3 linked regions of the Callithrix jacchus genome follow. The protein of the gene in region 1 purifies or fractionates together with the protein of each later gene. This does not show direct contact. Links are inferred from orthologs where the notes say so. Each region holds a gene or a part of one and is shown on either strand. Other genes may lie near its edges.

The links.
Region 2: the proteins of KDM5A (region 1) and GATAD1 purify together in Homo sapiens (affinity purification with mass spectrometry; 6 studies listed by BioGRID and IntAct, with this or other methods). This does not show direct contact. The link is inferred for Callithrix jacchus from reciprocal best matches to the Homo sapiens genes KDM5A and GATAD1.
Region 3: the proteins of KDM5A (region 1) and PHF12 purify together in Homo sapiens (affinity purification with mass spectrometry; 3 studies listed by BioGRID and IntAct, with this or other methods). This does not show direct contact. The link is inferred for Callithrix jacchus from reciprocal best matches to the Homo sapiens genes KDM5A and PHF12.

Annotation. Positions count from the first base shown.
Region 1 is NC_133510.1:13,559,819-13,563,393, forward strand, and holds part of KDM5A (lysine-specific demethylase 5A), read right to left. Parts: intron 3,036-3,575; coding exon 2,958-3,035; intron 914-2,957; coding exon 791-913; intron 1-790. UniProt on the Homo sapiens protein: Histone demethylase that specifically demethylates 'Lys-4' of histone H3, thereby playing a central role in histone code. Does not demethylate histone H3 'Lys-9', H3 'Lys-27', H3 'Lys-36', H3 'Lys-79' or H4 'Lys-20'.
Region 2 is NC_133512.1:57,164,755-57,167,193, forward strand, and holds part of GATAD1 (GATA zinc finger domain-containing protein 1), read right to left. Parts: intron 685-2,439; coding exon 501-684; intron 1-500. UniProt on the Homo sapiens protein: Component of some chromatin complex recruited to chromatin sites methylated 'Lys-4' of histone H3 (H3K4me), with a preference for trimethylated form (H3K4me3).
Region 3 is NC_133506.1:104,706,633-104,709,274, forward strand, and holds the end of PHF12 (PHD finger protein 12), read left to right. Parts: intron 1-397; coding exon 398-536; intron 537-874; coding exon 875-1,209; 3' UTR 1,210-2,137; downstream 2,138-2,642.

The DNA.
Region 1 (3,575 bases):
TTTTTTTTGAGACAGAGTCGCACTCCGTCACCAGGCGCCAGGCTGGAGTGCAGCGGCATAATCACAGCTCACTGCAGCCTTGACTTTCCGGACTCACGTGATCCTCCCACCTTAGTCTCCTGAGTGGTTGAGACTACAGGTGTGCACCACGATGCCCAGTTAACTTTTTCATATTTTTAGCAGAGTCAGGGTTTTGCCATGTTGCCAGGCTAGTCTCTCAACTCCTAGGCTCAAGTGATCCTCCCACCACAACCTCCTAAAGTGCTCAGTTGACAGGCGTGAGCCACTGTGCCTGGCCCAAATTTTCAATTAAGTAACAACAACAACAAAAAAAGATGACAAGATCAACACAGAACATTGTATATGCAGTACAATATAATATTAGCAGGCGATAGTCATTTATTTTGCATATTGCGTATCACAGAGCCTGATAAATATCAGTCTCATTAACAAATATACAGTAACTTTTAAAGATAACTTTGAGGTCTGTCATTTCCATTTATTCAAATGTGCATTTCATTTTTTTTTGGAAATGGAGTTTCACTTTTATTGCCCAGGCTGGAGGGCAATGGCGCGATCTCAGCTCACCTCAACCTCTGCCTCCCAGGTTCAAGCAATTCTCCTGCCTCAGCCTTCTGAGTAGCTGGGACTATAGGCACATGCCACCATGCCCAGCTAGGGCATCTATCAAACAAATCCTCCATTGGAAGCAATGTTTCCCACCAAATTCATTTTAAATTCCTAAATTCACAAGCCTCTGCTCTAATTTCTAAACCAGCATAAGCCTCACCTTGCTCAAAGCATACAGATCCAGGATTTTTCTCTCTACCACAGGGATCTTCAGAGTAGATCCTTGAAGTTCCCAAAATTTTGCTAGTTGATCCAAGAAATCCAGTCTCACTCTGGTCATTGCCTAAAATTATTAAAATACAGAAATAAGAACTAAGTTATGATTGAAAGGAATGAGTATAACAGAGCAGGGGTCCCCAAACCCCAGGCTGTGGACTGGTACCCATCAGTGGCCTGTTAGGAACCCAGCCGCACAGCAGGAGGTGAGCAGCAGCAGCGGGCAGGTGAGCAGCAGCAGCGGGCAGGCGAGCAGGCAAGAATTCCCACAAACCCTACTATGAACTGCATATGCAAGGGATTTAGGTTGTGCACGCCTATGAGAATCTAACAAATGTCTGATGACCTGAGATGGAACAGTTTCATCCCAAAACCATCCCCCATACTCCCATCCATCCATGGATAAACTGTCTTCCGTGAAACCAGTCCCTGGTGCCAAAACCGCTGGGGACTGCTGTAATAGAGGAACTCACTTCTTTCAAGAAATTCAAAGACTTTTCATTATTGCTTAGTCCAACCCTGTAAAACCAGCCAATAATAAAGATGCAAAAGACTTCTAACAAACTTTATTCATTCAGGAAAAAAAGTTACTCTGATTTATTTTAAAAGTTACACTGGCAACCAAAACAATTTTTTTAAGTTTGTTCAACTTTATGCTGACCAGAAAATTCAGTAAATCGGATCCTCCTCACTGTCTAACATTCTGTCATTTCATCCACAGGTAAATATGCACACTTTTGGTGCGTCAACCCTCAACCTCACTTATATTGAGATGCTTCATCAAGTATCTAATTACAAGAGACTAAAAAGAAAAAATACGTATTGCAGCCAGGCACGGTGGCTCACACCTAGAATCCCAGCACTTTGGGAGGCTGAGGCGGGCGGATCACCTGAGGTCTGGAGTTCCAGACCAGCCTGGCCAAAATGGCATAACTCCGTTTCTACTAAAAATACAAAAATTAGCCGGGCATGCTGGCTATAATCCCAGCTACTGTAAAACTAGCTACTAGGGAGGCTGAGGCAGGAGAATCGTTTGAACCTGGGAGGTAGAGGTTGCATGAGCCAAGATCACACCACTACAGTCTCATCTGGGTAACAAAGCAATACTCTGTCTCAAAAAAAAAAAAAAAAAAAAACTATGTAGTAAACTCTCAGAAATGTTTTGAGGGAAAAGAAAAAAAAACTCAGAATGACATAATAAACCTTTGCTATCAATGATTTTCCTTCTGTACTCTAAAAGTTTTAATATCATAATGAAGAACCTTCTAAAAATCAGCAGACAAGAAAAACAGCAACACATAGTCTTCTATTTAGAAAACGTAAGATAAATCAGTAATACTTAGAGGAAGATCTTTAAGTGTGTGTGAAACGGAGTCTCACTCTGTTGCTCAGCTGAGTGCAATGGCACGATCTCAGCACACTGCAACCTCCACCTCCTGGGTTCAAGCAATTCTCCTGCCTCAGCCTCCCAAGTAGCTGGGACTACAGGGGCCCACCACCACACCCAGCTAATTTTTGTATTTTTAGTAGAGACAGGGGTCTCACCATTTTGGCCAGGCTGGTCTCGAACTCTTGACCTTGTGATCCACCCACCTTGGCGTTCCAAAGTGCTGGGATTACAGGTGTGAGCCACTGCACCCGGCCAAAGGAAGATCTTAATAAATCAGATTAACAGTCCTGACAAAGTTCCATTAAAATCGAAACCAAAACAAAAGAAAAAAACTTTGAAAACTAGGATTTTAAAACAGGATTTAAAAATCCATTTTCCAAGAACCAAGGAAGACAGAATCTTCCAAGATTTACAAAAATTTTAGCAGAGTAAGAAACAATAGAGAAAGTAGAATTTAGGAATTCTAAGTCTCTGAAGCTAAGCATTGAATATTTCCACTAGAAAAACAGAGCTACAGATAGTTTCTCGTGATCTCAGTTAAATGGAAAAACCGTAACTGCTTTGCACAATTTTTTTAAAAAGCATACTCTTCCTCCAAACATCAAGTAACTATTCCAGTCAGTACCAATTAACACAAACTCTAGGCTATGCAAAGTTCTCTACCTACAGCCCTAACAATAAAGAATAAATCAGGAAGAAGAAATGGTGACACAACACTTACCTCAAGTTCATTCAGGCGCTGGACTCTTGGAGTGAAACGAAAGCTTTTTACTTCACAGGCGAATGGAGGCTGCCAGTCCTAAATAGAAAGTGTTTTTTCAAAACACAGTGGTATGTAAGCAAAGAATAGGTTATTTATTCCCTTAAAGGGGGTTTTTGCCACAAATCATGGTGATAATAGACTAACTTATAAGTCTTCTTTATTACAGAAACAAAATGAGCAAATTTTTTAGATAAAATAATTTTAATACAGGTTGAGTATCCCTTACACGAAATGCTTGGGATGAGAAGTGTTTTGGATTTCACTTTCCATATTTTGGAGTATCTGCATATACATAATGAGATATATTGGAGATGAGACCCAAGTCTAAATACAAAATTCTTTTATTTCACATAAAGTTATACATGTAGCCTAAAGGAAATTTTATACAATATTGTTAATAATCTGGTGCATAATGCATGTGTACACTGGACCATGAGAAAGGAAAGGTGTCACTATCTCAGCCACCTGTGTGGACAATCTGTAGTTGTCTGGCATCACCATAATTTCTGACTCTGCATTTACAAGCTACCAATAAACAATTATTTCCTTACACTTATTCCCACATAAGTAGTTAAC
Region 2 (2,439 bases), on another chromosome or scaffold:
AAAGCCCTCTAATTTTTTTGTACGTAATAACACTTAAGCTTTTTCTGTCATGGGCTGAATTGCATTCCCCCACCACTCTCTAAATTCATATGCTGAATCCCCAATGTGATGGTATTTGGAGATGAGACCTTTAGGGAGGCAATTAAGGTTAAATGAAACCACAAGGGTGGGGCCCTCATCTGATAGAACTGGTGTCCTTATAAGAAGAGACATCAAAGAGTTCTCCCTCCATGTGTGCACACAGAGGAAAGGCCACATGAGGACACAGCAAGAAGGTGGCCATCTACAAGCCAGGAAGAAAAGCCTTCCCAGAAACCCTTGTTGCCAATACCTTGATGTTGGACTTCAGCCTCCAGAACTGTGAGAAAGTGACTTTCTGTTGTTTAAGCCACTCAGTCTGTGGTATTTTGTCATGACAGCCCAAGCTGACTAACATACTCCTTTACGTAATATTGGAGAGTTAACTAAGTTAAAGAACCTGTACTATTTGTCAAACTCACCTATGATATAGGAGGCAGGATCAAATTGGTCTCTGGGGCTGGAGAGAGTGGGAATGAGCCAGGTCAGTGCTGCACTCTTCTCACAATACTGGTCCTGGATAAAGCCTCTGATCTGAGCATAGTAGGGCTTTCCATCTTGTTCATCAATCACAGAAACAACATCACCAATTTGATAATATACTCCCTGGGAAAAAGAAAGATAATCCCACATTGAAAATAAAAATAGAACACCACAGCTATGAATGAACCTTAATAGGTAAGCAAGTTTTCAAAGTGGTCAATGAAAGGTGTTCAAGGTAGTCTAATGGATAAATGTTTATATGTTTGGTGCCAATTCTAAAGATGTTTCACTTTTGAATGAAAATTATACATACACACATGAGGGTGCATGTACGACAGTTTACATCTAGAGAAAACATTTGTTCATAGAGTACTCTGATTTTTTTTTTTTTTTTACATAAGGACAATTTTAATCCTGCATTTTCCTGTAGTAACATCCACTACTAGCTATCTATGGATTGAAACTGCATTTGCTAAGAACTGTGAACATGAAGAAACTTTACATGTAGTCACACGCTGATACAGGCACAGACATCTTCCAGCACGAACAGAATACAAGCATAACACATACCAAATAGTCTCAATGGATAAATTTGCTTCACCTATAGTTCTATTTAGTAAAATTCACAGTTAATGCAGAATTTCATTTTTCAATTTTACATCTTTATTACACGTTTTCTAATACTTTATTTAAAAAAAAACACTCATTCAAGATTGTAATTTGCATGGCAATAAACAGTGGTTTCATGGGTTCCAAGTTTCTTAAGGGTCCACAGAAATTTAAAACACCACAAGTCTCCTTTCCAATTTGCAGCACCTGACTTAAAGTTTAAATTCATATAATGCATCATTAAAACTGTCATTTTTCTCTTGTGAGAAGACGTGTTTCAATTGCTATTTCCAGGATGATAGATTGAACATGGGTGCACATTTTTAATTGGCTAGCAGAATTTTACTCACATAATTTATAGCCAGAATAAGAACCTCTAGCCTCTCTGAACGGCCTTCCACTCACAACAATGATGATGATAAAAGTCTAAAATTATGATGATAAATTTCTAAAATAAATGTCTGGGATGCCCCACTTGACATTACCAAACATGTTTCCAAGTAATCTTAGAAAATATGATTCTTTAAACATATGCATAATATTCTACCACACAATGTGCCATCACTTCTTTAACCATTTTCCAAATGTTCATTTATAACATTTACAATTTTTTATTGTAAATAATATTGTGATGAATACTTTCATCCATAAGTTTTATGCAAGGCTGATTATTTCTTCTAAGTCTTCTAATATCAAAGAAGTGGCTTACTGGTTCAAACAGTGCACATACATGGTTTTAAAGCTTTTAGTATACTTTACCAAATAATCTCCAGAATAGCTTGAACAATTCCTACCAACAGTATGTTGCCCACAGGATGGACTTCATAACAACAAAGCAAATTCAACCACAAATCTATTAGATTCTCATACATCTCAAAACCATCACATCAAAGAAGCAAGGAAATATATTACTGGTAAGGAAGCCAAATTCAAACTCTTTTAAAAAAAATCACTCAGCTTTAGATCAGTAAAATAATCAACAAAAATGCTCCCCGCAAAAGGTCTACTGGGTTTTTCAAAAAAATAAAGTTAAAAAGAGATAAAGAGAAAGTCAGGCTGGGCACCGTGGCTCACATCCAGCACTTTGGGAGGCTAAGGCGGGCAAATCACAAGGTCAGGAGTTGGAGATCAGCCTGGCCAACATGGTGAAACACCGTCTCTACTAAAAATACAAAAACTTAGCCAGGCATGATGGTGGATGCCTGTAGTCCCAGCTACTTGGGAGGCAGACGCAGGAGGAACGCTTGAACCTGGGAGGCGGAGGTTGCA
Region 3 (2,642 bases), on another chromosome or scaffold:
GAGCCACTATTTTTCCTGAGGTTAGTCACAGGCACAACAGAGGGAGCCTACCCTAAAGCAGGGGAGGGGACCAGCGTAGAAGGAAGCCAAGCCCTGTGGGTGTGTCACTGTGAATTTCATTATCATCAGGGACCAATGAATATCATACAAGAGGAGCCAGTGCTGAGAGGGCAGAGTGAAGGAGCAGTGGGAGAGTAGGGAGTGTAGAATGCCAGAAGGAAGGCTTCCCTGAGGAGGTGTCTTCAGTCCTATTCTGAAAGGACAGGGGCCATGACTGGGGAGATAAGTAAGGTCTCACTAGGTAGAGTAGCACAGCCTTCTCCATACGTCCTCTCTCCCCTTAGCCCCAGGCCCCACACAGCAGACCACACATCTTATCTCCCCTCCTCCTCCTCAGAATACCAAACATTATGAGCTGTTAAACTACAGTGAGCATGGGACAACGGTGGACAATGTGCTGTATTCATGTGACTTCTCCGAGAAGACCCCGCCAACCCCCCCAAGCAGTATTGTTGCCAAAGTGCAGAGTGTCATCAGTAAGTTGGAGCAGAGGTCTGTGGCCACAAAGCTGAGGCCCCAGTCAGGGTGGTTCTGACTTGCTGCCCATGGTCTGTCTCTTGCCTTCCCAGTCCTAATGGCCAAGCTCTCCTTCCTTGTGGGCCCCGGGCAGACCACAGAGAAATAAGTGCTGAGTACCCTCGTGTGTGTACACACCTGTGGGGCCTTCAGACTCCACCAACCCTTTCGGAGCATCCCGTACCCTTAGTCATGTAGCAGTTGGAATGGGGAGATGCAGGATCCCAACCTTGGCAAACAGTCCAGATGGGTTGGCTGCTCACCGTTCCTCTTCTGTGACCATCCCCCTTTTTCTCAGGGCGCCGCCGGCACCAGAAACAGGATGAAGAGCCAAGTGAGGAGGCAGCCATAATGAGTTCCCAGGCCCAGGGGCCGCAGCGGAGACCCTGCAATTGCAAAGCCAGCAGCTCGAGCTTGATTGGGGGCAGTGGGGCCGGCTGGGAGGGCACGGCCTTACTGCACCATGGCAGCTACATCAAGCTGGGCTGCCTGCAGTTTGTCTTCAGCATCACTGAGTTTGCGACCAAACAGCCCAAAGGGGATGCCAGCCTGCTGCAGGATGGGGTCTTGGCCGAGAAGCTCTCTCTCAAGCCCCACCAGGGCCCTGTGCTGCGCTCCAACTCTGTTCCCTAGGACTGGCGGCTGCCCCGCCACTGGCCTGTACACCCAAGACTCCTGCAATGCAAAAATGTACACAAATCAAGCCCGGGTGTTTTCTATACTCTACCAGAAACCCTTCAACCACAATCTTTGCATGAAATGAAGAAAACCTTTTGACTGTTTTTTAAAAATCCTTTTTCTTTTCTCAAGTTCTAGGGGGCATTTGCACATATATTTGTACTCAACATTTCGTGGGAAAGCGGCAGACCCGAGCTGAGGAACAGCGTGGGCAGGGAGGGAAAGACCCATGGTCTGGACACTTCCTCCAACACAAAATCCTTCCCCACCCACCTCCTGCTCCCTCCCCCTCGCCCGCCGTTGTAAAATAATCAGAAACTTGTTCTATTTTGTGGCAGTGACAATAGTTTTATATTAAAAGAAATACAGTTTTCATACAGCAAAATCTATACAATATCATTGTTTTATTTAATATAAAGATCGCTACCCACTTTCCTTCCATGGTTCCCATCCTCCAAGTTATTTTTTCCCCTTCTGCAGCGGTTGCACTACAGGTAGCTACTGTGTATTATGGACAAATGAGAAATGAATTCTTTTTCTGGCTGTCCATCTATTTTATTTCAAATAAGGAAAAGTGTATTTGGATTTTGTGTAAATACATCTAGTGATGACATTTTTTCAATGTTTTTAAAAACCGTGTACAGTACTACATGTGGTAGAGCGTTTTCTCAAATTGTCTATTGTAGCAAAAATGTTTTTGTCGTAAACCTGTTTCGTCTCCTTTTTTTGTTCTCTTGCCACTTCTCTCCTCTTCCTCCTGCCCCTGATACCCTCCTCTCCTCCCACCCCCACAACTAGTACCAATGTACATAGTAATTGTAATGTTTTAGACTTTACAGAAACTTTCCTGTATTCTGTATATAAAAAACAAAAATAATTCAAATTATGTTTTCTGACTGTCTGTCCTACCTGTCATCACCCTTAGAGGAGACCCTCCCTTAGATCTGGGTCCAGCAGGTGAGGGACCTTTTGGACGGGTCTCATTTCCATAGCGAAGTTTGGGAGGGGAGATGTTGGAGAAAAGCAGGTCAGGGTGGGTGTAGGACAATGGAAGGACATGGGTGCATCTGCTGGCCGGGGGACTTTTTCCAGAGAACCCTGACTGATAGTAGAATCCAGTCTTGACCCACTTCCAGTCATGTGATTCGCAGTCACACCTCTCTACAACTGCTATTCCTCATCAGAAAACGAGTCTGCTGCATTAACTTAATTATCAAGTCCCGGGATGCTCATTAAACCAAATACCGTGCTTTCGTCCCAGATCTTAGGAACTTTCTCCAGGAAATTTTCCTGAAGAGAGCACCTTTGTGTACATTCCAGCAGTGTCTGTGTAGATGCACCTGCTTGCATATCAGGATTTTGCCTTAGGGATAGAGAATGAATATTCT